Linked DNA regions of Astyanax mexicanus. The protein of the gene in region 2 interacts with the protein of the main gene of each other region in a pairwise test. Links are inferred from orthologs where the notes say so. Each region holds a gene or a part of one and is shown on either strand. Other genes may lie near its edges.

Region 1 (10,561 bases), on a different chromosome or scaffold from region 2:
GTGCATTTGCAAGAACTTATCATGGTATGTATCACAATACAGTGGCTGCGATAGTTTAAATCAAATTTTAGGAAAACTGTCATAGGATAAAAAACATTATATTTAAAAAACTGAATGAAATAAAAGTTTTCTTTTTATCCAATCAGAACCGTGGGATCTAACGACAAATTACAACACTGTCTGACACCAATCTTTTCATATATACTAATAATATTTTTTAAAAAATCAATACACTATATGTTACATAATATTTACCTGACTGGGAGGCTACTTTTAGGATCCAGCTGTTTTTCCCATGTTTTGTGAGGTCTGCTTTTTCTGTGAACTGCTCAAAATATATTTCCAGAGTATCTTTATCATTCATGTCAGTGGTGCTGACCAGCAAGTCCTGCTTACTGGAGCTTTCTTCCGCTTCTGGAATAGAAAAAAAACCTGTATAACTCAAATTCAGCTTAAGGGCATTTTTATATTTGAGACAAATAATACAGTAAGTGTATAGCAAATGTGCTACTGTGAAATTATAAATGTGCATCATCATAAGTGGGCATTTATTTTTTAAATATTATTTATATTTTATAATTGAGCTCATACAACAAATGACCATATATCATATTTTTATTTTTATTCTGAAACTTTTTTTACATTAAGAGTCTAAAATGTTCTGTATTTATATATACATTTTCTTTATTTCATTTCTATTCATTAAGGCACAGAAAATAAGATAACTTAAAACAGTAAATGAAAACTGAATATAATAACTTTATACATTGCAGAATTTATTTTTGTATGAAACAGAATAAAAAAAGGTAAAAAAAACAGAACATAGGGTTTAGAGTACAGCATACTATAAGTATATAATATAAATCACTATAAAATGTACAGATTTATACCAGTCTAAACGGTAAAACTGCATATAAACCAAACATGAACAGTATAACATTTGTAGTCTAAATAATATATTTTTAAACAAATTCTAAACTGAATAAATTGTATATAAAATATTATATTAAGTATATAAAGTATACATTTATTTGCATTACAAATACAACAGTAATACATTGAGAGTACGCTGAGCATAATAAGCATAATAATACCTTCAGGAATTTCAGAGACAGACTCCTTTACAGCAAATCCATGTAAAAGACAAAGAGATTAAACAAATTGATCAGGAATATACTCTATACAGTACTGTGCTAAACATCTAGGGTTTCATTATATTTGTTTAAAGCTGCTTCAGGGTTTCTTAGCAATAAATGTGTTTTTGCCAGAAAAATACTACGGATGCAATGAATATAAAAATTATTTGGCCAAAAAACAAACAAAAAAAAAAACATGTAGCACAATAAAACTTGTATATATGTTTTTTAAGAAAGCATACAGCTCACTTCAACCTTATCAGCAGTTTCAGTCAAAGAAAAATTTTAAATCTGAAAATCTACAGAGATTTCCTCTAGCGGGCTTACCTTAGCCCTAGCCTAGAGTAGCACTGCTGAGATAAATTCAAAATGGAATATGAGAATAGCATTTATGCGGTAAATTTATGATCAGAAAAGCACAAATGGCATAAATTCATAATAAGAATAGAACTGCTGAGGTAAACTCATGATCAGAATAGCACAAACAAAGTCAATTCATAACAAGAATACCTCTACTGAGGTGAATTCATGATCAGAATAGCACAAATAAAGTAAATTCATAACAAGAATACCTCTACTGAGGTGAATTTATGATCAGAATAGCACAAATAAGATAAACTCATAATAAGAATATAACTACTGAGGGAAATTCATAATCAGAATAGCACTAATTAGATAAATTCATAATAAAAATAGCACTGCTGAGGTAAATTCATAGTCAAAATAGCACTAATGAAGTAAATTCATAATAACAATAGTAATGCTGAGGTAGATTCATAATCAGAATAGCACTAATGAAGTAAATTCATAATAAAAATAGCACTGCTAGGGTACATTTGTGAACAGAATAGATAAGTATGCTGAGATATATAAAACAAAACGTTAAAATGTTTTGTTTTATAATAGTTTTTTTCTTTACAATACAACTAAAAGTATATTTAGGCATCTTTTATTCATTCAATGGTGAATTATTGAAACATTATTTAAAACTGTAAAAAAAAACATCCCCTTTATTGGTCAATTGTTTGATATTGTTGAATTACTGTTTTGGACAAAAAAAAACATATCAACTCATCCCTAGCCTTTAGTTACTGATATGTTGTGTGAAAAAACACACATTTTGTTCTTAATTGTGTTACAGGTTTAACTATAAAAATAATAGACATTGTTTTTTGGCTTTTCTTGTTCTTTCTAAAATGCAAAAACAAGAATGTGAAACATTCAAACACATAAATCTATTGCTGTGTTGTTTATGAAGGTCTGATCTGAATGGAAGGCTTATCATATATTTAATCTGAGTCATGGTTTTATACTTCCTTATTAACGTCATGATCAGCATTGCTTAAATGCTTTCATTTTCAGATTCCCCATTGTCTTGTCGTTTCTAATAAATCAGGAAAATAAAGTTTATTTGATTAATGAAACGTCAGGTTGGACTTCCCCTAGAAAAACGAGCTCCTCCGGCAGGTGTAACAGTGTTTTGCAACAAAGATAAAAACAGAGAAGTCACCTGGACGTCAGCGGCTTGTGCTGATTTGCTGAGTTCAAGTTTTTCCAGTTTGGGTTTGGGTAAAATAGGAGGTTTCATTTTTTTTAAGGCTGAGCTCTCGTCCTCCAGACGTTTCACCGTCACGTCAACAAGTCCCCGTCCTTTAAAAGCCACTTGGTGAACTCTCTTCTCCAGTACTTTATTTAATTCTGAGGATTAGACAATGATAATGCATTATTTGACACGGTTCAGACTTACAATTTATAAATACGACACAATAAAATTATTAACTAACACTGATCCACCATAACATTAGTACCACTGACAGTTGAAGTAAAAAACATTTCTCCCAAATTCCAAATATAATTATTGTCATTTAGAGCATTTATTTGCAGAAAATGAGAAATGGCTGAAATAAAAAAAAAAACATGCAGAGTTTTCAGACCTCAAATAATGCAAAGAAATTAGGGTTTATATTCATAAAGTTCAGAAATCAATATTTGGTGTAATCACAGTTTTTATGCATCTTGGCATGTGCTCCTCCACCAGTCTTACACACTGCTTTTGGATAACTTTATGCCGCTCCTGGTGCAAAAATTCAAGCAGTTCAGCTTGGATTGATGGCTTGTGATCATCCATCTTCCTCTTGATTATATTGCAGAGGTTTTCAATTTGGTAAAATCAAAGAAAAATCTGAATTTTAAGTGGTCACTTATTTTTTCCAGAGCTGTATATGGACATGTGCATTAAACGCTGAAATGCAGTCATACATTTTACACTTACCATTTATCTCCAAAAGTGCCCAAACACAACAGATTCCATATTTACTCACTAAATATCAGTATTTTCCACATTAAAGGACATTTATATTGAATGTTTAGCGTGTTTTTTATTTTAAAGCAATTGACTCCTAATTGTTGACTAACTGACTAACTTAAAAAAATCATCATATTTGTCTACCAAAATAATCATTATTTGCAGCCCTAAATAATAATAATAATAATAATTTTAGTTGACCTCAATATTATCTGTAATGTTTTTGTGAGCAGGAAAGCCCATTAATATGAATGAGCTGATATTTGGCTTTTTTACATTTTATTTATTTATGATATTTCTTAAATTACATTCCTATCCCAATGAAATTTAAGAGATATCCAATATTCCAATTCCAATATTCTTAGCTGTTAAAAGTTCCATCTTCTTTAAAATGATGTAATTGTATTGTTATACAATTATACAATACCTAAAATATTGGCATAAAAATGGTTGTTAAAAGATTATTAGTATTAATAGCTATTGTGATAAGACTAACATATGATAGTGTAAGCAACTGAGTCAGGACATCAAAATATTAGGCAGGTCACGTGGGGTGTTCCTGGTATGCAGTGATGACTGAACAAGTAACGCCTCATACATTACAACTTAAAGAACATAAAGGATCTGCTGCTAATGTTAGTCTTAGTGCCAGATACCACAGGCCTCCTCTTTTAGTTTTTTTTTTTTGGAGTTTAAATGGTTTTTGCCTTAAATGGTCAGATCTGTTGTTGTAGATCAAGGGGAACCTACTCAGTATTAGGCAGCTGGTAATAATATTATGGCTGACTGGTATGTACAAATTACACAAGAAAAGTCTCTGGGTGCCACCATGTTGAAAATAATTTTAAACTAACAATTTTTAAATCATTTTATGAATGAAAGGTTAGAATAGGGGAACATATTGCAGAATTAATTCTGTGTAAATGCATGAAATTGAGCTGTTGCTAAAAAAAACAGATCTATAATAGTCATGCATTTAAATGAATAACTACCTGAAGGTACTGTGTGTATAAACAGTGTTTTTAATAAACTACCTGCTCACTTTCGAAGTTCTCCGTGCCTCATTTTAAAATCGGGGCCTTCAGTGTGGAGCCACTTTGAGCTAGTTATTGTTGTAAAAATAGCAATTTCTTTGCTGTATTTTGGAATGCTGGAGAAAAACAGTGCTGGGCTATTTGACAAAAGTTTATACTCATTATCATGTTTCACTACACCTCAAGTCCATTTCAAACTGTATTTCTCCTTTAAGATACACAGCAAATTTGGCAGTGGTAAATCAACACTTTAAGGGGGGTCAGTTCTCCAGACAGGGATTAAGCCTAGTCTCTGACTACACACTATTTCACTGAAGATTTTCCATTGAAAGGAAAACATAATATACGAATAGACTAAATTTCACAGTCTGGAATACTGCCCTTAGTGTTAAACTATTGTCTAACAATGTTCATTTAACCCTTTTAGACCTGAATTATGTTCTCGGGATGGAAAAATATAGGAAGACTGTTTTGTGTCTGTAAAGCACACAAAAAACTATTATCGACACTAGTATCCTAATATAAAATCCATATAAAATAAATCCAACTAACCCAGATTTTTAAACATGATACAAAGTGTTCTAAGTCTCTTGTACTACTTTGCCTCATTGGTTCTATAGTGCTGACATGCCCTAATGTCCAAGTTGCTGTTTTTTATTTTTTTCAGTGCAGTGGGTGGGGCTAAGCTACTGTTTCACTGGCTGGTTTATGATCTTTTCTGATGGACAGGTGAACAGGTCTCAATTAATGTTCTGTTCTGTTCTAAAAAAAAAAAAATACATTTGGAAAGAGAAACTACATGATGTCCATTGTAACTGATGCAGGGTCTGAAAGGGTTCAATCTAGCAGTCGCATTGTTGATTTAACACTGACAAGTTTTGATTACACACTAAAAAAACTAGATAAAAAAGTTACACATTTCATAATTGTACCCTCAAAGGTATAATATTGGTCTTTACAGGATCAGATGTGTTCCGTCTGAAGTACAAAGTCTTTTCTAACAGCAGGAAGTAGAGATTTTTACCAGTTAACCAGCTTAAAAGTACATTCTGTATTCTGAATCACTGTACCAATAAATAATATATATTTTAATTATACATTTTTATCATCAAGTCCTTGACACATGTTCAATTGATGATAATGTTTATAATTTTTATAATCTTTACTGGTAACGTTACAAAAACATGTTTACAAAAAAGTCTTTCAGTTAAAGATACTCTGTTGTACCTCAATATAAGGTACTGCCCCAGCAACAAGTACATTTTTTTCTTAGTAGGTATGTCAAATCAAATCAAAATATTTCTAAATAATTTGGAGTATTACCCTAGTCAAGAAAAGAGGGTACACCTCCAACGACTCCAAAATTAGTTTAGTCCCATTTACTCTTCTCTGAGAGAAAATAGTAGTTTTGGCTTTATGAACGTACCTCCTTCATCCATGTAGATAAGTCGAGCTTTCCTCTGATCTTCTGGATGCTCCTGGATCTCCAGGATCTCTCCTCCAGACCGTCTCTTGTTCTTGAAGTACAGTTCTAGTTTGGACTTCACACGGTGAAAATCATCTGGAAGACCCTCCAGCTCCAGTGTTTTCTCATCCTGACTCTGTTTTCTTTTGGCGGTCTCCATCTCGACGTTTAGAATCTCAGATAAACTCACAGAAATCTCAGTAAGAACTTTAAAAATAACTAAAGTAAAGTTGAAGACAGTCTCCTGAACTGTCCATTTCAGACAGCTGTCGGAGGAGCTCGCTGAAGCCCGTCCGAACTGTACTGTACTGTACTTTACTTTACTTTACTTTCACTTTTACTTCAGGACACTCGCCTGCTTTTCCAGGAAGAGAGACACAACCCGAACACAACCACAAACAGCGGGGAGCTACGCCAGATAAATCCCATTTTTACTCGTTATTCGCGCATTTATTTGCGTTTCTTGTGATTTTAAAGGGGAGACCAGACCTCGGCAGAAATCTGTTAGAGATGACGGATACAGGGGAGCAAGTGAACGGCGAGGTAAGCGTGTTTTGCTCGTCTCGGGATTCGCCCCATTTAAAAAAAAAAAAAAAAAAAGAAAAGCTACGAGCAATAGTCGTTAATCATATACCAGTTTATTAAAACGTGTAGCAATTGATTTATTTTTATCATACGCTCAATGCGATTTTAGATACGATTAGATACTGTCGCGCTTTGTAACGTCTTTATAGCCTGTGTTCTGTCGAGTTGTGCTACCCTGTCAAATCGTGCTACCTTAGTGTATATTTAAACGTAAAAATACACAAATAGGCACTGTTTAAGAAATATGCTTCCAAAGGTATGCTTCCATAAGCTTTATCTAACTCACTGTATGAAAAAAAAAAAAAGTTACGGCAATGAGACCTGATTAGATTTTTAATCATAAGATTTTAATCATAAGATTAATCATAAGATTTTTAATAATAAGATTTTTGTATAGCTTATTATTGGTATTTTTTATTCATTTTTGCTATTTATACTTGTCTATCACTTAAACAAAGAATAACAGTGAGTTGACGTTAAAAGAAAAATCATAAATCATAAAAAACCGTGGAAACATTACAAAAAATGTGAGTCCGCGCAGGCGCACTGGAGAAAAGAAGCATATATCGATGGGAAGCACAACTCGACAGGACACCCCCCGGTTAGAAATGTCGGCGAGAGAAGACCGAGTGAGCTACGTGAGAGTAGCTACGTGAAATACTGTATCCAGTTTCTTAAAACGTGTAGCATTTTTTATTATGCGCTCAATGCGATTTTTGATACTCTCGCGCTCCATAACGTCTTTAGAACGTATAGCTCGTTTCACATCAAAAAAGGGTCAAATTCTTAACTCTCAGGTGTGGGTTTTCCCAGTATATTATTTAGATTTTCCGGTCCACCTTAAAAAGTCGAAATACCAATAATGCGCCAGTAGAGAGCGGGATTGGGCCAAGACAAATTTGGCATTTAAGAAATATACAGCTCTAGAAAAATTGATTGATTGATTTTAGCAAATTGAAAGCCTCTGGAATATAATCAAACCATCAAACCAAGCTGAACTACTTAATATTTTGCACCAGAAGTGGCACAAAGTTATCCAAAAGCAGTGTGTAAGACTGGTTGAGGAGAACATGCCAAGCTGCATTAAAACTGTGATTAAAAACCAGGGTTATTCCACCAAATACTGATTTCTGAAGTGATTAATTATAAAAATGAACTTGTTTTCTTTGCATTATTTGAGGTCTAAAGCTCTGAATCTTTTTTGTTATTTCAGCCATTTCTATTTTTTTTTTTTGCAAATAAATGCTCTAAATGACAATATTTTTATTTGGAATTTGGAAGAAATGTTGTCCGTAGTTAATAGAATAAAACAACAATGTACATTTTAATCAAAACATATACCTATAAATTGCGAAACTGAGGCTGAAGTGGTCTTTTAATTTTTTTCAATACATTCAGAGAATAAATGGCCTGTTCTGCGGATTTCCAGTTGCCCTAATTCCAAATGACTAAATAATCTGATAAAGGTAACACCAAATTATAATAATATAACTATTACACTGTAAATATCCTAAAGGACAATGAATATTATTGAACAATATTTTTTATTATTATTATGACCCTCTGAACTTTAGCATTAGATGCCAAAGTTGTCTTGCTTGGCCCAATCCCGCTCTCTACTGGCACAACATTGTTATTTCTACTTTTTAAGGTGGACTTCAAAATCCGAATAAGAAGCTAACTTCAGTCTCCTGGTTTTACAAAAGCTGCTGAGCAAATACCTAAGTCTTAGATGGATGAGCGAGCATTACACTGAAGACTCCATGTTTATAGGATTTACTTAATGCTAAGATACTTCTGGAAACCTGGGTCCAGTTCAGTAAAAGTCAGTGTGCAATTTTGGAACACTTCTGTTGGTCAGTGGTCAAGATGTTGATTGACAATCTGAGAAATATGGAGATTTTTAAACTTCATGAGTTTTGACTGACTTTTAGTTGTTCTCCTTCTTTTTTCAGAATAATAGATAATGGCTATAGTGGTTTTAACAATATTTTTTATCTATTTTGTAGAACTAATAACATCAAGTTATATCAAGTTTGTCTTATTTTATAGAAATAATAAATTGAACTTGTTTTCTTATCATTTTTGACATTCTTTTTGGAAATAATTGTTTACCTAAATATTAACATTCTTTTGTCGATTTACTTTATATAAAAATGACTATTTATTAATCCTTGTGAAATAAAAAAAAACTTTTCTGTATATTTAAATAATTTTCTCATGATTTAAAGTCTTATTTATAATACTTTTCTATTTTCACTGAAAATGAGGCACCTGTGGTTTTGTATATATTATCTGAATAATTTCTGAATCAAAGACAAAAGTAAGCAGCATTTGGTTGTAAGAGGTTAATAAGTATACATGTATCAGCTTAAGGTGCATCTATGTGTTATATCAACATTATATATTAAGTTGGAATTGACTGTGGATTTTTAAGGATGTTTTTAATTTTAATTATATCTTTTTAACACAGTGTTTTTGATGTTTCTATCATATAGCAGTTGCAGCAGATTGCTGACGCTAGGGAAGAGCTGGAGAAATGGAAGGTAATGGAAGCTAACAACACTTGGCCTGTATTCTGTAAGCTGAACAATATTTACTCATGGATCTGATTTGGTCAGGTATTTGTTTAATACGCTTGTGCTCCTATCAGAAATTTGTGGAAGCTGCAGATACAGAGAGGTCCAGGTTGATGCTGGAAAAGATGGACTCAGAATCTATGAAGAAACAAGCCCAGCAAGAAACAACAGAACTGTGGAATGCTACAGAGCAGCTCACAGACAAGTTCGACAAAACAGTGCAAGACATACAGGTATGCTGTGATCAGGTATTAACTATTAAATGCTGTCAATGTTAATGCATTAACGCACACAATTAATCTGGAAACTTTAACAGATTTATTGTTAAGTTACGCATTAATCACATGACCAAATTTACAAAGCCTGGTGATGTATTAGAGGTTTTATTTGACCATATAACAGCTTACTGTCGAGTTCAGAGGATAGATTACTTTTTATTTACGCTGAAATATGGATTAAATATCATAACTCCCTCTTTCTCTTATTGCACACACAAACACACACACACACACAATTTTTTCGGTTCACTCTCAAAAATAAATCCCAAAATATTTTACATAAATAATATTAATAATGGTTATTTACAAAATATTGTTGTGATTAATACAATTCAGTTTTTAACCAATTTACCATACTAATATAAATCTAATTCTATTTAGCCAATCTTACATTTATCATTTCATTTACATCAAGTATTTATTATTATGAAGAATAACAATTGCAATTAATCTTGATTAATTATTAAAATCCAAATATATATACTTTAAATTGATTGACATCAATAGCATAAACATACAGCTCTTACCAAATTGAAAACCTCTGGAATATAATCACGAAGAAGACAGATGATCACAATCATCAAACTAAGATGAACTGCTTGAATTTTTGCACCAGAAGTGGCATAAAAGTATCCAAAAGCAGTGGGTAAAACTGGTGGAGAACATGCCAAGTTGCATGAAAACTGTGATTAAAAATCAAGGTTATTCCACCAATTATTGATTTCTGAACTTTTAAAACTTTATGTATACAAACGTTTTTTTTTTTTGTTTTGTTTTTTTTTGCATTATTTGAGGTCTGAAAGCTCTGCATCTTTTTGTTATTTCAGCCATTTCTCATTTTGCAAATAAATGCTCTAAATGGCAATATTTTTATTTGAAATTTGGGAGAAATGCTGTCTGTAGTTTATAGAATAAAACAACAAGGTTCATTTTACTCAAGCATATACTTATAAATAGCAAAATCAGAGAAACTGATTTAGAAACTGAAGTGTTCTCGTATTTTTTCAGAGCTTTATATACACAATCTGGTATACTTGGTAAACTGCAAGGACAAGATAAAGCCTTGACCCCACACATGATATGGCCATATAGAGTGTTTTATTACTTATATTGTCCTTACTAGTTAAATAAAGCTATGAGCAAAAATCAGTTTAAAAGAACACAGTAATGAAGAGATTA
Region 2 (11,182 bases):
CAACCATACATCAAATCCAATAAGGGCAAAACAAAAGAAATAAACCGATAATCCGAAAACAGGAAAATAACGCTTAGTATGCAACATGAGTCGACAATACCTCGCGGTGTTTGTTTACAAACGGATGCGTTAAATACAGGATCTAGACAAGAATGAACCGGAAGTAATTTAGAACTCAGGTGAATCAGAGCGTCGGAGCGTAACGCGATTGGGTGAAGGTGAAAGGTTTTTATTGACGTCATAATCAGGGGAATTCTGGGAAATGGAGTCCGGTAGTGTGGAAGGAGAACAAGGCTGCGTGACAATCAGGAAGGTCTTTCTTTTTATTCTTCCTCTTCTTCACTTTTTGGATGGTGGAAATAAGCGATCAGGTTCATTAGCACCACCGTGTGATGAATGTGCATGCGCAACCGTTTCTTAATCTAAAAATATGAGTTAATTAAATAAATAATTCCAAATTCATGTCCAGCTGACTTTCAATACTGTATCAATGTAAAACAGCAAGTTCAAACCACAGGTATAAATTAATTACTTGCATTTAAGCAAATAATCTAATATGTTTTAACTATTAGAGTGTGAAAAAAACACTTTAAATGAATGAGAGCAGTGTTTTACTTTTTACAGTGTACATGTATGTGTATATATTTAATAATATGCTGGATTATGTTCCTGTAAGAGAGAGTCTCAGCCTGATTGAGTGTGTACTCTCTCTCTCTCTCTCTCTCTGTGGTCAGTAGAAAGCCCCGTGTGGTTGGTGTGTGGTAAAACAGAGTGTGCATGAGTTTGTGGAAAGTGATGTGGTAACACACACACACACACACACACACACACACTCAGTCAGTCAGTAAACACAGCTGTGTATGTGAGGGTGTATGCAATGCACAGCTGGATCTGCTGCAGGATGTTTTTTTGCTAAAGTGGTTCAGAATGACGCAGAACGGTTATGATTTACATTTCAGATTGAATGAATATCTGAGCAGCGTGTTCTGGCCTTCCCCAGGACAAAGGAAACTTAAGATTTCTTACTCAACACTCATTTATATCAATAACACATGCAAACTGATACTTTATAAACAAAGAAAAGGTCATATTTAACAGACTTTACCCCAAAAACACCCTCAATAAACACTCTGATACACTAGAATAGTGTATATACACTAAACATTATACACTAGAATAGGAGATATTAGTTTATAAACACCCTCAATAAACACTCCTATACACTAGAATAGGAGGTATTAGTCTATAGACACCCTCAATAATCACTTCTATATACTAGAATAGGAGATATTAGTCTATAAACACCCTCAATAAACACTCCTATACACTAGAATAGGAGATATTAGTCTATAAACACTCTCAATAAACACTCCTATACACTAGAATAGCAGATATTAGTCTATAAACACCCTCAATAAACACTCCTATACACTAGAATAGGAGGTATTAGTCTATAGACACCCTCAGTAATCACTCCTATACACTAGAATAGGAGATATTAGTTTATAGACACCCTCAGTAATCACTCCTATACACTAGAATAGGAGATATTAGTCTATAAACACCCTCAATAAACACTTCTATACACTAGAATAGGAGGTATTAGTCTATAGACACCCTCAAGAATCACTTCTATATACTAGAATAGGAGATATTAGTCTATAAACACCCTCAATAAACACTCCTATACACTAGAATAGCAGATATTAGTCTATAAACACCCTCAATAAACACTCCTATACACTAGAATAGGAGGTATTAGTCTATAGACACCCTCAAGAATCACTTCTATATACTAGAATAGGAGATATTAGTCTATAAACACCCTCAATAAACACTCCTATACACTAGAATAGGAGGTATTAGTCTATAGACACCCTCAAGAATCACTTCTATACACTAGAATAGGATATATTAGTCTATAGACACCCTCAGTAATCACTCCTATACACTAGAATAGGAGATATTAGTCTATAAACACCCTCAATAAACACTCCTATACACTAGAATAGGAGATATTAGTTTATAGACACCCTCAGTAATCACTCCTATACACTAGAATAGGAGATATTAGTTTATAGACACTCTCAATAATCACTTCTATACACTAGAATAGGAGATATTAGTCTATAAACACCCTCAATAATCACTTCTATACACTAGAATAGGAGATATTAGTCTATAAACACCCTCAATAATCACTTCTATACACTAGAATAGGAGATATTAGTCTATAAACACCCTCAATAAACACTCCTATACACTAGAATAGGAGATATTAGTTTATAGACACCCTCAGTAATCACTCCTATACACTAGAATAGGAGATATTAGTTTATAGACACCCTCAGTAATCACTCCTATACACTAGAATAGGAGATATTAGTCTATAAACACCCTCAATAAACACTCCTATACACTAGAATAGGAGATATTAGTTTATAGACACCCTCAGTAATCACTCCTATACACTAGAATAGGAGATATTAGTTTATAGACACTCTCAATAATCACTTCTATACACTAGAATAGGAGATATTAGTCTATAAACACCCTCAATAATCACTTCTATACACTAGAATAGGAGATATTAGTCTATAAACACCCTCAATAATCACTTCTATACACTAGAATAGGAGATATTAGTCTATAAACACCCTCAATAATCACTTCTATACACTAGAATAGGAGATATTAGTCTATAAACACCCTCAATAATCACTTCTATACACTAGAATAGGAGATATTAGTCTATAAACACCCTCAATAATCACTTCTATACACTAGAATAGGAGATATTAGCCTATAAACACCCTCGATAAACACTCCTATACACTAGAAAACAAAACAACTTTTATATCATACAAATATAACCTAAGTAAATATATAAAGCACTATTTAAATTATCATTTCATTTATTAAGTGAAAAAAAAACCTATCCAAACCAATTTAGCCCTGTGTGAAAAAGTGTTTTGCCCCCCATAAATTAACTGCTATTAATCACAAGTTTTTTGTGAAGCTGATTTCAATTTCACTACTAACCACAACCAGGCCTCATTACTGATTCCAGACCTGTAGAATCAAGAAATCACTTAAATAGAAGCTGTCTGACAACAATAAAATCAAAGAACAATAAAAGCAGATAACCACAGTGATTCACTATTATTCACTAATGGAGAAAACATGGTGAACACTGGTGAACCTTCCCAGGAGTGACCGGCCGACCGAACAAAATTACTCCAAAAGGGCATGAAGAACTCATCCAGGAGATCCCAAAAGAAGCCAGAACAACATTTAAAGAACTGCATTTCTCATTTAAATTATATTAACTCAGGTTATATTTGTCTGTAATTAAAATGTGTTTGTTAATCGGAAAAAAAATTATGATAAAAAAGCAAAAACACCACAAGAAATCTGTAGGAAGGCGCAAATACTTTTGCACAACACTGTATATACAATATAAAAGGAGATAATTGTCTATAAACACCCTTAATAAACGCTTTTATACGCTAGAATAAGATATATTATCATTAGAATGATTTGTAGTATTTATTCAGTATTCCTCTGCTGCACTGTTTGCTGTGTCTCTGAGAGAGGGTGCATTTGTTTCTGATTGAGCTCCTGCATAATTTGGGGGAAAATAAAAGGGTCCAGGCAGCAGAATTTCGCTCATTAAAGCAACACGTGCTTCCTTTTAATAGCGGCGCTGTTTTACCACCACACAGCGAGATCAGATCAGTCCAGCTCAGCCAACACCGGCCAGATCTGCCTTCAGTCCAGTTCAGTAAACATTAAAAACCCACTGTTTTCCAAACAAACAAACGATCAAATTGATATATTAGGCGCTCAGTAAACTACTTAAAAAAAAGTTAATGTGCTAAACATTTGCTTACACGCAGATTAGAGCTATCTGGGCATCTGCAGACCCTTAAAAAGTCTTAAAAAATCTTTTCTTTATTTAAAAGAAAGAAAGACCTTAATTTCTCTTAAAACATCTTCCAAATTTGATATGCAAGTTAGTTTACTGATTTAACAGCAGAATGAACCAATTGCATTATTTAATGCTCTAAAGGACTAAAGATGTTCTCAGATACGCCCAATACTTGTTTTTATCTAGCGTAGATGCTACTGTATGCATGGGGAAAACTATAGACTTGGGGTTAGATAGGATGCATTATTTTGTGTTTGAACATGTATATATAAATATTTGTTTGTCAGATAATACAGCAGCGTACTGTTTAGTTTGTAAACTTAAATTTGGTGTTGAGCTTATTGCTGTTTTGTTTTTTGTTTGTTTTAATTGTATTAATTTTATCTCTGAGTGATATTATAAATCTAATTTACCCATAGGTGCATTTGCTCTTAGAAATCTAAGGCTAAATTAAGATGATTCTTACTGACCATATATTTTCGCCTTTACCTAAAATCAACTGGGAGAAAGGTTTTCCTACTCCTCCATGCAGAATTCTTTCAGCTGCGTGATGTTTGACAGGTTTCTTGTATGAAAATCACCCCACAGCATCAGAGTACAACCTGATCTAAAGAGTAATTTTTACAAATCTGACTTAAAAAGACAATTTCTGGATTTGTACATTTGTGTGTATAAATTCACCGCCTCCTTTTTATGCTATTTTACAGTAAGGGTTATAAACTGATGATTCTGGGGGAATTGTTGGACACTCCAGATGGAAAATTACAGTTTTTAAAGTAGAGTTTTTTTAAAGAAATGAGATGGAAAATGGGTGTGGCTTTGGGTTGTGTTATTGAAACATGCGGGGATGGGCGGAGCTACATACACATCATACTGCAACCAGCCAGCAGAGGCGCTAGACCTGTACAGTTATTCATTAGCATTCATTCAATTATAAAACAGGGTTACAGTGAACACTGATGTCTTATGCATGTTACATATTATGTTCTGTGTGTTATTGATTATTAAATATTAAGTGTATGAAAATCAATAATCTATAATCTATAAATCTACACAGAATTCATATTGATATCAGTCAGCAGGTTATAAACTGCATGACTGAGCCGAGGGGGGGTGGAGATGGTGGTGGTGGGGGTGTTGTTTTAGTGTTAAAGTAGGATGTCCCGAGGTCACAGGGGTCACCTGAGGACAGGTGATATAGGACACTGTGCCTGTGGTCACCTGTGGTGAGCCACATTACTGAAATACCCCGTATACCACCCCCAACACCCCACCCACCACTGCAGGCTATTTCAGCCGAGGAATTCATAACGGCTTCCTCAGATACCAGGAAAATCCTCCTGTAGCTGCAGCATCTATATATACAACTGTTTTTATTTAGCATCACAGAGGATTCCGCTATCAACAAAGCAGCTTTTACAGTTTACAGATACACCTGAAAGAAAAGCTGCTACAGTGTTACAATAAAGTACAAGGCTTTTATTTGATTTCAGACAGCATTAAATCAAGATATTTCATATTTATTAAGCCCTATCCTTCCTCCTGCCTGGTTTAAACAGCAGCAGAGCTTCTGAATATATCTACACTGATGGGCGTGGTGTTCTGGAAATGAGGTGTGTTCAGGTACATTTCTGGAGTTTTATCTTGTTTATCTTGGTAACAGAAAACACAGGAGCTCCACTGACTGAATACAACCTAGACAGACGCCAACAGTCAGACGATCATCGCTATCTCGGTAACACAGGCGCCGTGCCGAGCCGAGCGTACACCCCCACTTATTACACACACATGAACACACAGCAGCACAAACCCAACTTTTACATCAACAATAAACAGAATAGTAAATAAAATAACATTGCTGTTCCCGTAAATGAGCTGCTGGAGCTCCTTCACAGCGTCAACCAGCAGCTCAGTTTCCTCTGCTGAGAAGAGTTTGTTGAACACGTCCAGGTAGCTGCACCGTTACAATAGCAATCCACCAAAGACAGAGCTCACCTGATCTACTCTTAAAGAGAATGATGAGCAAACAGATGACACTCTAATTGGTTTATTTATTTCATATTACGCCCAAAATTAATTAAACACACCCATGATTAATTAAGAGAATTATTACATGACTTTGCTTTGCATTTAGAGCTGTGCAAGGTGTACTTACTTTTCCCGTCGTTACGATAGCAAAGACACACTGACACGCCCTAAATCAAATCAACAGTTTGCTTACAGATAATAATATTTTTAATAATATAATAATGTTGAAACATGAAATACGTTGGGTTCATACTGTCTGCAATGAAATGAAAGTTAACCTTTTTTTATTTTGACAATATTTTGAGTGTTATATATATATATACATATATATATATATGTATATATATATATTTATAGAAAATTTCAGATTAATTTTAATTTTAATTGCATAATGCTGACTGATTCTTGTTTTTTTATTGATGTTCAACAGAATTAGCTGTTTTTCACTGTTTTAAAAGCTGTTTTAAGCAGATTTTAAGCAGATTTTTGGAGTTTACCGGTTTAGAGACACGTGGCCTGATTCACTTTTACTGAAAACAGGCCCGGGAGTGAGCTGTGGTACTGATCCAAAAGTGTGTGTGTGTGTGTGTGTAAGAGTGTGTGTGAGGGTTTTCTCTGAGATTACTCATTTTGGGAGTAGAGGGCGGGGAGTAAATGTGGGAGGGGCTAGTGTAGGAGGCGGGGGAGTGGGTGGAGCCTGCACACAGGCTGCTCTGGAGCTCAGAGGGACCTCCCAAACTCAGCAGAGCCCTGGATCTGAGCGCCCGGACTGGATGTAGCTGATCTTCCAGAGCCCTGAGAGAGCCCGGGGGAATGGCAGCCGGGCTGTAGAGGGTCGTACCCGCCCTGCAGGAGTGTGTGTGTGCCCGGGGAGGTGTGTGTGTGTGCCCGGGGAGGTGTGTGTGTGATGAAAGCTGGCATGAGGAGCTCAGAGAGGAACACTTGAGCAGCTCCAGAGGAACTCCAGTCTGTGTTCTGTGTCTGAAGTGAGGGATGGACCTGCTGCTGGTTCTGGTTCTGGTGCTGCTGGGGCTGTGTGGCAGTGCCAGGAGTGCGTGGCACAACCAGCGCAATGGGCTGGCACACACACAGGTTGGCACGGCGCCCCGGGCGGCCAGCAGACACAGGTAAGATCATTTTACAGCTCAGAACTTCTGGGTGGGAGCTCTGCTGTACGGGCTGGAGCTCATTTACTCACTTACTGAGATGTGTGAGGTTCTGTTTGTGGTTCTGTTTGTGGTTCTGTTTGTGGTTCAGTTTGAGGTCCAGTGTGGTGCAGAGTGAGTTATGTTCTGATTCACACATCAGAACTACTTTATCAGACTTTATGAGGTTCTGTTTGAGGTTCTGATGGATTATATTTAAGGTTCTGAAGTTTGAGATTCTGTTAAGGTCCAGTCTTAGGTTAATTTTGAGGGATTTTTTAAGGCCCTGAATGAGATTCTGTATGAGATTCAGTTTAAGGTCCAGTTTGGGGTTCTGTTTGAGAGTTAATTTGAGGTTCTTTTGCAGTTTGATTTAAGGTTGTGTTTGTGGTTCTGCTCAATGTTCTGTTTGAAGTTGTGTTTGAGGTTCAATTTAAGTTCTGTTTTTTGTGGTTCAGTTTTGTCTAAGGTCCTGTTTAAGGCAATGTTTCAGTTTCAGATTCTTTTTGAGGCTCTTATTAGGTCCAGTTTGAGGTTCTGTTTAGGCTGGTGTTTGAGGCCCTGACTAGGTTCAGTTTGTGGTCTAGTTTGAGTTCAGTTTAAGGTCTTTTTTGAGGTTCTGTTTAAAGTCTTTGTATCAGGTCCTGTTCAAGATTCTGTTTGTTGAGGTTCTGTTTGAGGTCCAGTGTGAAGCAGTGAGGTATGTTCTGGTTCACACACCAGAACTACTTTATCAGATTATGAGGTTCTGTCTTAGGTTCTAAACGCAGCCCTGTTCATGGTTCTGGTGGATTATATTTGAGGTTCTGAGGTTTGAGATTCTGCTTAAAGCCCAGTGTAATCCTCTTTTTGAGTTTCTGCATGGTGTCCAGTTTGTGGTTCTGTTTGAGAGTTAGTTTGATGTTTTGTTTGAGGTCTGATTGGGTTCGGTTTGAGGTTTGATTTGAGGTTGTTTATGGTTCTGTTTGTGGTTCTGTTTGAGATCCAGTGTGATGTAGAGTGAGGTATGTTCTAGTTTTTACACCAGAACTACTTTATCAGACTTTATGAGGTTCTTTTTGAGGTTCTGATTGTGGTCCTGTGGCCCCGTTCATGGTTCTGATGGATTATATTTGAGGTTCTGAGGCTTGGGATTCTGTTAAGGTCCAGTATAAGGTTTTGAGGTCCTGTTAAATGCCACGTTTGAGGTCTGGTTTGAGTTCAGTTTAAGGCCCAGTGTAAATGTTTGTTTGAGGTTCTGTTTGAGGTTTGATGTAAGGTTGTGTTTGTGGTTCTGCTTGATTTCCAGTTTGAGGTTCTATTTGAGGTTTTCTGAGTTCTGTTTGAAGATGTGTTTGAGGTTCTGTTTGAGGCCTTTTTCATGGTTCTGGTGGATTATTTTTGAGGTCCAGTCTAAGAATCTGTTTAAGGTCCTGTTTCAGTTTCTGTTTGAGGTTCTGCTTAAAGGTTCCGTTTGAGGTCTTATGTGAGGTTCTGTTTGAGGTCTTATGTGAGGTTCTGTTTCAGATTCTGTTTGAGGTTCTATTTAAGGTTCTGTTTGAGGTTCTGTTTCAGTTTCTGTTTGAGGTTCTGTTTGAGGTTCTATTTAAGGTTCTGTTTCAGTTTCTGTTTGAGGTTCTGTTTGAGATTGTTTGTGGTTCTGTTTGAGGTTCTATTTAAGGTTCTGTTTGAGGTCTTATGTGAGGTTCTGTTTCAGTTTCTGTTTGAGGTTCTATTTAAGGTTCTGTTTCAGTTTCTGTTTGAGGTTCTATTTAAGGTTCTGTTTCAGTTTCTGTTTGAGGTTCTGTTTGATGTTCTATTTAGGGTTCTGTTTGAGGTTCTATTTAAGGTTCTGTTTCAGTTTCTGTTTGAGGTCTTATGTGAGGTTCTGTTTCAGTTTCTGTTTGAGGTTCTGTTTGATGGTCTATTTAGGGTTCTGTTTGAGGTTCTGCTTGAGGTTCTGTTTAAGGTCCAGAGTGTTCCTCTAACATTCTCTGATATATGTTCTGTTTGCACCGCAGACCCACTTTATCGGATCAGAATCATGAGTACTCACACTGTTTGTACCATTTTATAAAACTGTATATAAACTGTATATAAACTTTATATAATCTGTATTGTGGCTGTATGTGGACGCTCTGCTTTACCTCACACTGAGAGAAAACTCGACCTGACAGCACATACAGCACTAAATACATCACTGTTAGATGTGAGACACTGATTTATAGCTCTTTTATGAATCTGATCACCTCTCTCTGGAGTAAAGTACACGCCCACTGTGTAGTAAACGCCAGCATTAATGCTGGAAATAGCTCTGGTGTTTTAGATACAGGAAAAAGGAACTGCTATTATAATCAATATTAATAACTACAACTCACCATTATGAATATTATCTGAGTAATTTAACCCAGTATATAAAAGAGCACTTCAGTTTCTGAATCAGTTTCTCTGATTTTGCTATTTATAGGTTTATGTTTGAGTAAAATGAACATTGTTGTTTTATTCTATAAACTACAGACAACATTTCTCCCAAATTACAAATAAAAATATTCTCATTTAGAGCATTTATTTACAGAAAATGAGAAATGTCTGAAATAACTAAAAAGATGCAGAGCTTTCAGACCTCAAATAATGCAAAGAAAACAAGTTCATATTCATAAAGTTTTAAGAGTTTAGAAATAATCAATATTTGGTGGAATAATCCTGTTTTTTAATCACAGCTTTTTCATGCATCTTGTCATCATGTTCTCCTCCACCAGTCTTACACACTGCTTTTGGATAACTTTATGCTGCTTTACTCCTGGTGCAAAAATTCAAGCAGTTCAGTTTGGTGGTTTGATGGTTTGTGATCATCCATCTTCCTCTTGATTATATTCCAGAGGTTTTTAATTTGGTAAAATCAGAGAAACATCATTTTTAAGTGGTCTCTTATTTTTTTTTTACAGAGCTGTATCTATATACATGGGTGCAGAAGTTGTACTTAAGTAGAGTAGAACTCAATTACTAATTGATGATTCATAAATAAAACTTATTTTTGTTCAGAATTAGCTTTATATTTTCTGCTAACGAGTATTATTTTCATTATTATTGAAAGTAATTATGTTTATCAGCAATTATCAACCACGTTATTTTGAGTATCAGCATATAAAACTCAACCTGAACTGAAGCTGCAGTGAAAACCTGGAAAAGCATCATAAAAAAAGAAGAATGCAAAAGTTTAGGTCAATAAATGAATATGTCAATAGCTAACAGGCTTGGGATTAGGTTTTAATCACTTTTATCCATTATTTAACCCATTAAGTTTATCTGTTCTAATAGTTTTGCTAAAACAAAACATGTGTAGGTTCAGACAGAAGGTCTAAATGTAAATACCTGGAAATAAAAGGACTGACCTCATTGTTTTAATACCTTTGAAGTATGATTATAATAATTATAATAATAATTTGCCACGTTGTGTTTACTGTTATTCTATAATCTATTGTCTGTCCAATATTTCCTGAGATAAAGATAAAGAGTTAAAGTAAGTGTGTTTCTGGTGATTATTGGAATGATTAACCCTATAATTTGAGTATTTAGAGTATTTAGAGTATTAGCGCAGGTGTGCTGCTGTATGATGAAGTGTTAAGTGTGTGTTGGGGGGGCAGTATTACGCCCCCCGCAGGCTCTCAGTGGGATTAAAAGAAGCTGAGAGTTTATTGCAGTGTTTCATCTCCTCGTCTGCGTCTGGTTTATTCACTCGCTCAGGTTAGAGATAGAGATAGAGAGAGAGAGAGAGAGAGAGAGAGTGAGAGGGACTGGTTCAGATTATCCCTCTGCTTCTGATTGGTTCTCACTTCCTCACTGTTTGAGGTTCTGCAGACCCGGTTCCCCCAACAGAAAATATTAAAGCGATAGTTCACCAAAACTCAGATTCTACCGGTTTTCTCTCCTACCGCACACAGAGACTCTCAGTGGTAAATATTTGGTAAATGTTTAGATGTATACTGTAATGTAGAGAACATGCTATAGTAAGATTATAAACACCTTTTAACATCCGGAACGCATTCAGCTCTTTTTCTTATCATTAGCCCAGACTGATAGATAGATAGATAGATAGATA
Region 3 (11,201 bases), on a different chromosome or scaffold from region 2:
TGGAGAGTCTGGAATACTGAAAGGCAGAGGTAGAACCAGGTTTGGACTGCAGTGAAGCTGGATGATAGATTGCCTATTTTAGACCACTGAGTGTTATCTTACTGAATAGTTCTCATTCTTTCTAAACTCAATCTCCTCAAGATATTTTGGTTTCTGTCCCTGTATTCCCAGCAAGACAACCAGGCAAACAAAACCCCAGGCTAAACTCCTCCTGGGCCTCCTGAGAAAACAATAAAATGTAAGCTTTGAAGTAACTTTTTTTCCTTAGTAAATCAAACTTTACAACACAATACATTTTTGAAACAGCAGATGCTGGCTTCTCTTTATGTTTACACTGTGCTACTATGTTTAGATAAAACTTTGGGTGTTGGAAGGATATTGTTTGGCTGTTGATTTTGGGCTAATACTTGCTATTTCAGGCTGGAGAATATTCTGTCAGAATGTTTGTGTAGAGACTGACTGATATCGGTGGCCAGATCCCAGAATAACGGTTTAGATGAACATACTGTGCAGGGAGTCTTCTGAATTCCTGCTTGCTGTATTTTTAATGTCGCTGTACTGATGTCCTCAAACCGGAGGTACTCCACAGGAGGTCTGGCTGATGGCTTGTACTCCTTGCTCCTCTTGACAGAAGGTTTGGGTGGAGCCATTAGTTGGACCTCAGGTCCTCCTACAACCCTGGTCTCAAATGTCTTCACATCCCCATTCAGATACTCCTCAGCACCAAAGTCTCTGAGACGCTCTGGACAAATGAGGGTAGGTCGACGGCCAACAGCTCCATTGGCGATGGGGCCGTCTTTATGGTATTGCCCATCAGGAGTTGAGTGTTTCTTTTTGGTGCTGCTTAAACGTTGCTCTTCACTGTTGTAGAAAAAAAATACACAAAAAGATATATTATTCTTTTGCTTTCCTTTCCATAAATGTATTTTCTTTGCATGCTTACATACACTGTACATACACTTCTCTGTAGAGAAATTAGCAAATGTGCAAGAAATATAAAAATAATTTAGCTTTTTCTTAGAACCTCTCCTTAAATGAGATTAGATTAATCTGTGAAAAGTCTGCCAAGAGATGTAAGCCTGAAGAAAGTGATCTATGGTGACAATGAGAAGAAGAGAGAATCCCATCACTGATGCCTGCCAGATGCCTTGGCTGAATCACCAAAGCCAATGACTGAGGGTAAGCTAAGCATGTGCTATGTAGATTATGTCGTCTTTGCTTTGCCTTATCCTTGTGTAAAATAGCAGATACCCCACTCTGGAGCCTCTTTATCAAATACCTGTGTAGCTTTGTAATGAAAAACAGCTGAAGAAAAAAGTTACTGGGGTAATTGGGTTCAATGTTTACTTGACTCAGTTTGACTGGTTGAATTAGACTGACGGTGCATAATATGAATATATACAAGATTAATACTGCAGGACTACTGAATGGTACACATTAAACTTGCCAGTGTTAGATCAACACTGAGTCCTAAACATTGGTAATTTAACATTTAAGATTGTACTGTGTATTGTGTAAATAAAGTGTGCAGTAAGTGCTATAACCAAATATGGGTTATATGCTTTGGTCATGTGCTCACAAAAAAAACGAATCCTTCACAATTCCTAATCCACTCAAGATCTCAGTTTGGCTCTGTTGCCCAGCCTTTCTAAGCTCTAATAATATACCAGCCTAGATTTGTTCTCAGAGGTGACCTCTTACCCCATTCCAACTAGCCTGACAGTCATACCCAATGCTCCGCCAGTGCTATACTTTTAATATTTACTCATTGTTATTTTCTTAAACTTGTTTTTCTTTGTATGATTTACTTTCAACTACCATCTTACCCTTCTGTGATAACTCTATTTACCGTGGCAGGAAGAGGAGGATGAAGGAGAGGAACAAACGGAGGAGGAAGCATATTACTGTGTGGAATTCAGGCAGGAGTGTCCTCCTCCTGGGAGCATTAAGGAGGTGCGAGGATGAAGGTACAATAGGGAGAGCTGGAGAACCTTGAGGTGGAGGAGGTGCAGATGCAGGAGGAGGGTCAGAAGAAGCTTTAGACTTTGAAACAAAAGATGCCTCAGAAGATATCTTCTTTAGGGTCCCAGCATTAGATCGTTCAGCTTTGTCTGAACTGGTTTGAGAGTTACAGTTTGTAGGTTGAAGCTTTTTGATGGATAACCTCTCTACTGCATTGGTAGATGGTAATGATGGAGGATCTTTTGAAGATATTTGGGAGGCAGAGGCTACTGTGGAGGGAGCAACCTTCCTAGAAGTTTGAGTCCTAGGAAGCTTTGGGGAAGACACAGCTGAATGGTTGGAATGAGCCAGGGTAGGACAAGCAGCAGGAAAAGGGGTTTGAGCAACTACACAGTCTTTAGAGGAGGTGCTAGGTTCAGAGGAATGTTCCAAAGCCATTACATTATCTGAGCTGACACTTGTTGACTCAAGAAGACACTTGGTATTTTTCACATTAAGAGATTCTTTAGGGATTTGAGATTCAGACTCCTCCCACCTTTGCCAGAAGGGATCGTACTCCTCGTTGTCACTGTATCTCCTTCGAGGTGGCGTTCCCTCCCCCGTGTAGTTTGCGTAGAAAAACTGGGCCGCAAAGTTCATCCTGGATCTTGGGTTGGTGCTCTAGGCAAGTTCCAGGATCTCCTTTAGTAAAGAGTTCCCTCTCCTGTAAATAGGAATGTGTTCAGCCTGCACAAGAGAAAGAACTAGAGTCCTGTTCTCCTCCACCTCTACTTCACACAGACGTACTGCAGAACCCTGGCTTGCCTTGTGAGGCTATTTAAGGAGGGATTACCCCAGACAAATGCCAGCCTCTTTCCCAGCCTCCCCACCCCTCCTGGCCAAGCCCTGAACTCTATTCCTGTCCCATACCTGGTTTAAACTGCCCTGTGACGTGGGCTAATCAGACGCTCTAACGGGATAGATGGAGACTTAGTGCTTATCTAAGAAACAATCAGCCCGGGCCTTGGGTCTGGGAGGCAGACTGGGCGATCACGGGGAGAGGCCACTGTACCCCAGGACCTGTGTGGCTGACCATCAGGCCAGGCCAAATCCTCTTCAACCAGGATCAGATGTGAGGAGTCACCTCTACTCCGAGCTCTCTGACCACACCAATTACTCAAAGTCCAGAGTGATTTGAAATTACTGGATGGTGTTTGTTTATATAGTTTGTAGTGTTATTGTTTTTAGCTTTTTTTTTTACTAAAAACTTTTTGTAAAATCAATGATATGTTAATCAGTTAAGATAGCAAAGCTCCAGAGGCAGGAAGCTGTGGGTTCCATTCTTGCTCTGATCACTGTCTGATTGGTGTTCTCCCGTGTCTGCACAGGTTTTCTCTGGGTACTCTGATTTTGTCCCACCTCCAAAACAAACACGTGGTAGGTGAACTGGCCATGATAAATTGCCCCCTAGGTGGGAGTGTGTGAGTGATCTTTAGTATATTTCAGGGAAAAGAATACTGGTGTCCTGTCCAGTGTGTATTCCTACCTTGCATACAATAACCCAGCTCTGGTCATGCAACCACGACAATGGAAAAGTGGATGTGAAGATGAATGGATTTCTATTCAAAGAAATGCAAACTGGTTGTTTCAGTTACTTAGGCTATTTCTGGGCTGAGTACCACACGCCGAGTCTGAGTTGCATCAGCCCAGCAATGGTTTAAATCTAGGCCCGATTCTGGCCTCAAGTGCTAGGCTCAGAAACTGGCAGAGTGTTGCCTGTACTAACACCTCTGTTTACAGAGTATAATACAGCAACTGGCCCAAGCCACATATGCCAACACACCGGTGGCTGTTAGCTGGGTATGATAATCTGATTGTGAAGTCCAGGGAGAGTTGAGGAGAATGGATAAAGTTCAGTCAACAGTGTTTATTTGCAACACCCACAGCTTAAGTATGTTCCTAACAGCACAGAAATAAGGCAAGCATTATGGTTCTTGGGATCACACAGGACAGTAAGAGTGGACAGCCAGCTTAAGCCCTTCTGAGCAGTCAAGACACGTCACTGGCCAAAGAACTGAGCTGAGGTGTGACCCTGAGGGTGAGTTTTTTCCACATAAAAAACTGTAGGTTTAAACATTTACATTTACATTTACATTTACGGTATTTAGCAGACACCCTTATCCAGAGCGACTTACAACAGTGCTTCAAAGTTACTTAAGATATCCAAAGCTAGTTTGTAGACTAGGATCAAGAGATACATAGAGCTTAGTCATGTTAAGAACTCTAGGAACCTTTTTTTTTTAATTTTTTTTAATTTTTTTTTTTTTTTATTTTATTTTAATTTAGTTTAGGAACTCTTTGAAAAGATGTGTCTTCAGTCGACGTTTGAAGACCGTGAGTGACTCTGCTGTTCTGACATCCAGTGGAAGTTCATTCCACCACCTTGGTGCCAGCACAGAGAAGAGTCTGGATGTCTGTTTTCTGTGTGTTTTGAGTGATGGAGGTTCGAGCCGAGCCGTACTGGAAGCTCTAAGAGCTCTTGGTGCAGATCTGGCTTTGACCATCGCCATCAGGTATGAAGGTGCTGGTCCGTTTTTTGCCTTGTAGGCCAGCGTCAGGGTTTTGAATCGGATGCGGGCGGCAACAGGAAGCCAGTGGAGGGAACGCAGCAAAGGAGTCACATGACTGAACTTCGGAAGATTGAAGACGAGTCGTGCTGCCGCGTTCTGAATTAACTGTAGTGGTTTGGTGGCTCGCAGTGGAAGACCAGCCAGTAGAGAGTTGCAGTAGTCAAGTCTTGAGATGACAAGAGACTGCACAAGCACCTGAGTGGCATCCTGAGACAGAAACGGTCGAATTCTTCGGATGTTGTACAGGAGAAATCTGCATGACCGAGTCAGATTTGCAATATGGCTCGAGAACGATAACTGGTCATCCATTACTACACCGAGGCTTCTTGCTTCTGCCGATGGAGTGACCAGTGAGTTCTCGAAGGAGATGGAGAGATTGTTGTGAGGGCTTGTAGTTCCTGGGATGAACAGAAGGTCAGTCTTGCTGGGGTTGAGTTTTAGGTGATGATATAAACAATAAACAATTTCAGTCTCAAATAGCCAACTGCTCTGAATCTCCATTCTTTCAGCTGTTTTATCTGCTCTGGAAAACTTTTCATTTGCTGGCGGGTTCGAAAGCTCTCTGGCCTTACTACAATTCCATTTCCCGCACAGGCTGCTGGTGGGGTTCCCCATCCTCCTCTTCCTCTTTATCTGTGTCCCTTTTGCAACCACACACTGCAGGTGTGAGGTGTGTATGAGGACAAGGAGATGAGCACACAGCAAGTGTCCACATGATTGTGTGTGTGTGTACACTCAGATTAAACAGGCTCAGGTAGGGAAGCAGCTCATCCACAATTTTATGACTCTAAGGCTATTTTTTTGCTTGCTGAATAGGCATGCATGGATTGTCCCTGTATCAACTGCTGTGTGTTACAAATTGTGCCATCAAAACCACTGTCGTCTTTTACTGACCCGGCAACACAAATAATGGCATAATATGAATTTTTAGGCTAAACATTACAAACATTTAAGTTCCACGAGGCATGCACACTGTTCTGTACCTTTTTAGTGACCCTTTCCTTCCTCTGCTTATCCTTTCTGCCTTTCAGGATTATGGGAGCAGACAGTGCTTGACCAGTAGACCATGCCAAGTACTGTCGGCCTAATATAGATGGACATGTTTACACTGCAAACTCTCTCTCTTGCAGGTGCTCACTCTCTCTTCCTTTTTCTCTCAGTGTGTTCATTAGCTGAAATAAACAGAAGAAAAAAGAAAACGTTATTAAAATGACACACAAAACCATGAATCCCCATTTTTGCTGTTTTGCACTTTTGGACAGAATGTAAGCGGTGTGCCATATCCTATCTCACACAATAATATGGTCGATTTTTGTAACAATAAAAAAAAAACATACATTGTGATAATTATGCTACTCTGTCTTAAAGCAGTCTACTTTGTAAGGTGTAAGTGTATTTTTTGCATAATTGTTTGGTTGCTGTTTATATGCAGAATATTTAGTGCATAAATATAGTGATACATTTTATGTAAAATGTATTTTTTGTATTCAAAATCAGAATCTTATCTTACAAAATAGACAAAAGATTGCATCGTTGTTTCTACTGAATGTTAGAAACTTAAAATTTAATGCTGAACGGGCCAATAGAAATGCTCCAAAATTAATTGGGATAAAATCCCTTTACAGTGACTTTCATGTTGTTTATGCCCATATTTGGGGTTTTGTGTGTATTTATTTTGTCTCATTTACCACTCTGTGCTTCGTCTACAGTAACCACCTACTGTCCTGTGGCACACAGGTCCACTGAGAACACAACTCATATGACTGATCAACACGAACTAACTCCAAAAAGACCCAGTTAACCATTTTACACAAGAAGTGCGCTTGCTCTATGAGCCTCAGCGGATGACTACTGTGGTCAATGAGAGCAGGGAATACAGACACCACGCCACGCCACGCCACGCCACAACATACTGACATGTTGGATCTTTGACTTATGGATAAATCTGTCAAACAATCTTGTATTTTTTAATATTACAATGCAAACAACAAACATACTCCAGTGTTCAAAATTGTGCAGCACTAGTACTGATCGCATGGCTATGTTCAATTTATTAGATTACTACTTGCTCCAAGCAAACATATGCTTACACACACGCATGCATGCACTACTTGCATGTGCATACTTCCTGAGGTTTGCTGGCTTGGCTTCAGCTCTGTTTCAATTCTGCTGGAGAAAAAAAAATAGTCCCACCCCACAGGCCCACTGCTCAACTTCACACACACCCAGCCCCCCCACCCATCTCTCTCTCTCTTTTTTTCTCACTCTCTGTCACTCTCTCGCTTTGCCCTCCTCCAAAAAGAGACCACTCTTGTCCTGCGCTGAGTGTTTTCATTAGGAAAAGAGGCAAAACGCAGAGTGAAAAAGAGAGAGACAGAAAAGCAGTGACTGAGGAGGGAAAGAGAGTCACGAACAGCTAGAAGCCCACCACAAGTTTTAAGGTAAACTCATCTCACTTCCTCTACTTTTCCTTCATGTGTGCATGAATTACTTTCCTGTTCTGACTGTGTGTTGAAGAACCTCAGAAGTTTACAGAGCTCCGATTTTTAATCTGGCTCTGGATTAGTGTATAGACACACTGTATGCCTGAACACTAATACACATACAGTTATATTAAAATCTGGGCATCTAAGGTAAATTATATGTGTTGGATCCCATGATTTTGTCTCTTTTTTCACTTGTATGTTTATGTTTATGTACGGGCAGTTCTAGCCAGACACTGCCAGTCACAATCATTTATCATGATTCCCTATGCCATAAGACATACTACCAGTAAGCATGTGACATTAAGAAATACCTACTATAAGGTTTTGCTCAAACTCTGATAATTCATAAGTACACTGGACAGTGTTCAGAGTCACTCACAAGGTAACATCTCACAATTTATACAGTGTTTGCAAACGGCTATCCCATTAATGTCAGTGTATTTGTAAGATATTCAAAAAAAAAAAACTAATCTGACCAGTGTTTCCAAGCTTTTGCATAACTCTATACACATAGCTGTGTTCAGTTGTGTTTTTGTGTATTTACTGTATAGTCTGCTGTATTTGTGCTGTATTTTGTCTGTCAAACAAACAACCAAACAACCCTCTTCTTTCCCTGTAGCTGGATTTTGTATCAGCTCTGAGTCATGGCCCAGTGCTCCACCTGCATCAGCCTCTTACTGCTCCTGATTGGTCAGATTTCTGCAGGTAGGCACTCATAAAGTGTGAAGTGGAGAATGTGGGCTTTCGAAATCTATATAGGCAAATTTGGACTCACCAAGTCACATATCTAAACAGCCTGCAATTCTGACTCTCTGTGAAGAAGATTTCCAGAAGAGTGATTTGTGTAAAAACAAGAGAAAAGAATCAAGAAATACTGTAGTAATACTGGAGTGAATATTAGATTCATGAAATTTAATAACGTGTGTGTGCGTTTTACGGAGCTGGAACATCTGGTTCTGATTTGGCTCTGCTTAGCTCGGTTCTGAATGACAGGGCAGTGTAAGCTCACAGTGGACATGCACATTTCATGCATGATATACCATAGTTAACTTCAGCCATTATAGAGCATTTACACCTAGCAACCAAGCAAACTGAGCTAAGATATTCTCTGCAGGGCTAAAGCTTGTGTAGCTTGAGTAGTTCTGGTGACTTCACTGGCAGAGAAATTTGAAATAATTACGGGAATGTTTTTGTGTGTGATCTCATTTCCTAAGAATGGAGAAATATTCTCATTCACTCCCAAATACAGAAAGGCTCCCTCTGTCTCTTTCTTACGCTCTCTAAATTTTTTCCTGCTCTTGCTGTCTCTTTGCACTTCTATTGATCTGGGAAATACTCCACCAAGCACAGTTAACTGAGGTTAACAAACACATTACAGTTACACACATTTTCCACTGGCCTGCTCAGACCCACTATTATTCAACAGCAAAGAGAGACTGAAGCCCAATTCTGTTCTCCTTTATTTTACTAACCCCAATCTGAGGCGGACTCTGTGTACTGCATTATGGTGCTGTCGCTACTCCAGGGGCCTCCAGCTGTTGAATAATGGGTTTGTGAGTGTGTGAGATGAGTGGGGCATATTTTTCAGTTGTAACTTGTTGCCTTTGTGTATGATTATTTCTCCGGGTGATGTCACAGCCGGTCCAAAACTCACACATCATTACCAACTGCATTTTACGTGGCCAAACACACTCACACATTGCTTGTCTAAACTGTGCTGTTGTTTTTGACACACACTCACAAGAAATATACAAAACACTTATTTAAAAAACTGATCTGCTTTAGTACTACAACTTTTGTTGTAATTTAGAACTACCCACTGCTGTAATTTCTGGTCCACATCAGGGCAGCAGGCCTGAGTCATTGTGCTACATCATTGTGCAACAATTGGGGGCCCCTTGTGTCGCAGTGTTGGCTGGCTCCCAACTAACTCACACAGGCAGCACAGACTAAGAGTTGCTATAGAATCCACACTAAAATCGTATACAAAACAACATAATTTACCAATGAAACGTAAAGAGAATTAGTGCCACCAACCTAATATAAGGTAGGTCTCAATTGTGCCACCAAAACAGATCTTATCATTTGAGGCATGGATTCCACACAACCTTTGAAGGCACCCTGTAGTATCTTGCAAGATCAGTTTTATTTGTTGGTTTTTGTTTATTTGTAGTTTTTTTTTTGTCACATTGCAGATTTCATGGTGGCTAATCGTGCTTTCAGCCGCTTAAAAAAAGATTAACCCAATTAATTGCATGCTCTGTAATTAATTCATTCATACACATTCATCATTAAATATTTTTAAAACGGAGAGTTCAATTAAATGTTAACTGAGAATGAAGTGAGTAAAAGAATAACTGGCATAGACTTAATGAAATTCAGTCAAGATAGATAGACAGATGAGGTAAATACTGTATCTTTCTCACAGTCCTAGATCAATTTCTATAGATACTTAAACGTGACACAACAATTATTGTAGATGCTCACACATGCCTGAGAAAATTTTCAGGTGATTTTAGACTACTCAACCACACTCTAGAGTAACTACACTCTAGCACAGCTGAAATATGTTTGTGTAATTATAAAATATATCAGCCCTGATTAAAATGTTTGAAAATGAGATGGTATTATTAAATATTAACAGAATTTAGACATTTCATTATATTTTGATCAATTTTTTTCTTAGTAACAAACAAATATTATTTTAAGTCAATAGTAATTAATTTTAGTACATATCTTTTCATTTATATTTTCTGCCCTGGGGCTCTTATTTTGAAAGCAGAAACAGCAGATTAGCCTATCAGCTAACCGGTGATGCCAGCTGTTCCCAAGCTGAATTAATGGCTGGTGTTTGATAACAGATGGATGGCACTGTGCTGGTTAGATTGTTAGGTTCTGGGGTTTGGTATTATACATGGTTTATGGTTATACGTCACTCCAGTCTTTAGTTACTGACCTCAGAAAACCAGAATGCAGCTAGTGGCTCAATGCTAGGTAGAACTCAGCAGTAAGGAATTAGGTTGCACTGCTTTGCCTTATTTCCCTATTAGTTGTAATACTTTAGAGAACTTTAGCTATAGTAACTAAAGCTAGGAATTAGAGAGGCTTTAGCATTACTGGATGGTGACGGGGTGCTATTGGTTACTTTGAAATATTTACTGTAAACATGTAAACAAGGAAAAAATTACATTTATAGGACTTCAGACTGGGGGCTTCATGCCTGTTCCTCAACCCAACAAAGCAGTTATTTTATAACTCCACTTCATGCAGCTCAGTTCAATCAATTACTGGATTAGTGAGCTGCAGCTGTTCTCTCTCTGAACATGACAGGTTTTTATCTCGCTTAATAAAAGTTGTTTCCCAGCTAAAATGAAGATTTTATATAAGCTGCTAATGGAACTTAATGTTGGGGTAATGTTGAGGTAAATGTAGAAAGTGTGCCCAACAAAACAAAACAAAAAAACAATACAATGCTTAATAACTACAAAACTAATTGGAAATGATCTTACTAAGACTTGTATGTTTAAAATCAAGCTAGTGGGTGAAACTAACTGGCTTTACCCACATAGACCTTCTGATCAGTGAATTAAATAGAATTTTTAAGCTGCGTTTTATTATATCATCTTTTTAATTTAATTTTCTGGATGCTTAATATGAACAAATGGCCTGTCATACAAATGTGTTTCATAGTTTATGTCCACTTAGACTTTAGGTTTCTGCTGTTAATTCTTTGTTAGCTTTTAGCTTTGCTACAGTTCTCTACCACAAGCCTGAGTCCAGCAGAGACAGTGGCTGACCATACTAACATTCTGTCTGAACCCACAGACCTCAGCCAACTGTGTCCACATGTGCTTCCATGTCTTTGCAACAAATACAAGACAAGCCAAAACACTGTTTACCCAAACCCAAAAATCCAAAAGAAAAAGTTTCCCTGTTCCATGTGTTCACACTGAGCAGGCCTCAACAGACTGCACAGATAAGAATAGCTATAAATGGTTACTTTTAGAGAAGAATAGTGCTGCGTCCTTCATTTATCTTTGTGATTTCATTGGATTTGGTCCTGGATATCTTTGGCTCGCTTATTGAAGGACTAATGGTGCTTAAGTTGCACCCTGGGACGGCAGCGTAGGAGTAACAGCAGGGA

Evidence for each region.
Region 1: the proteins of emilin1b (region 2) and nmi interact in binary tests that used the Homo sapiens proteins (3 or more experiments, as listed by UniProt). The two-hybrid records come from large-scale screens. The link is inferred for Astyanax mexicanus from reciprocal best matches to the Homo sapiens genes EMILIN1 and NMI.
Region 3: the proteins of emilin1b (region 2) and uncharacterized protein LOC103045848 interact in binary tests that used the Homo sapiens proteins (3 or more experiments, as listed by UniProt). The two-hybrid records come from large-scale screens. The link is inferred for Astyanax mexicanus from reciprocal best matches to the Homo sapiens genes EMILIN1 and PLAC9.

What each region holds. Positions count from the first base shown.
Region 1 is NC_064418.1:15,939,068-15,949,628, reverse strand, and holds the start of nmi (N-myc-interactor), read left to right. Parts: upstream 1-5,829; 5' UTR 5,830-5,901; coding exon of another isoform or gene 5,902-6,100; 5' UTR 6,101-6,140; intron 6,141-6,286; 5' UTR 6,287-6,450; coding exon 6,451-6,483; intron 6,484-9,023; coding exon 9,024-9,071; intron 9,072-9,178; coding exon 9,179-9,337; intron 9,338-10,561. Other genes in the region: protein mono-ADP-ribosyltransferase PARP14-like, read right to left, coding at 256-414, 1,095-1,119, 2,647-2,834, 5,902-6,100. UniProt on the Homo sapiens protein: Acts as a signaling pathway regulator involved in innate immune system response.
Region 2 is NC_064421.1:626,161-637,342, reverse strand, and holds the start of emilin1b (EMILIN-1b), read left to right. Parts: upstream 1-6,699; 5' UTR 6,700-6,952; coding exon 6,953-7,086; intron 7,087-7,092; exon of another isoform or gene 7,093-8,920; intron 8,921-9,028; exon of another isoform or gene 9,029-11,182. UniProt on the Homo sapiens protein: Involved in elastic and collagen fibers formation. It is required for EFEMP2 deposition into the extracellular matrix, and collagen network assembly and cross-linking via protein-lysine 6-oxidase/LOX activity.
Region 3 is NC_064414.1:39,447,661-39,458,861, forward strand, and holds the start of uncharacterized protein LOC103045848, read left to right. Parts: upstream 1-6,843; 5' UTR 6,844-7,012; intron 7,013-7,676; 5' UTR 7,677-7,701; coding exon 7,702-7,762; intron 7,763-11,201. Other genes in the region: L-threonine ammonia-lyase, read right to left, coding at 1-16, 507-861, 2,498-2,601.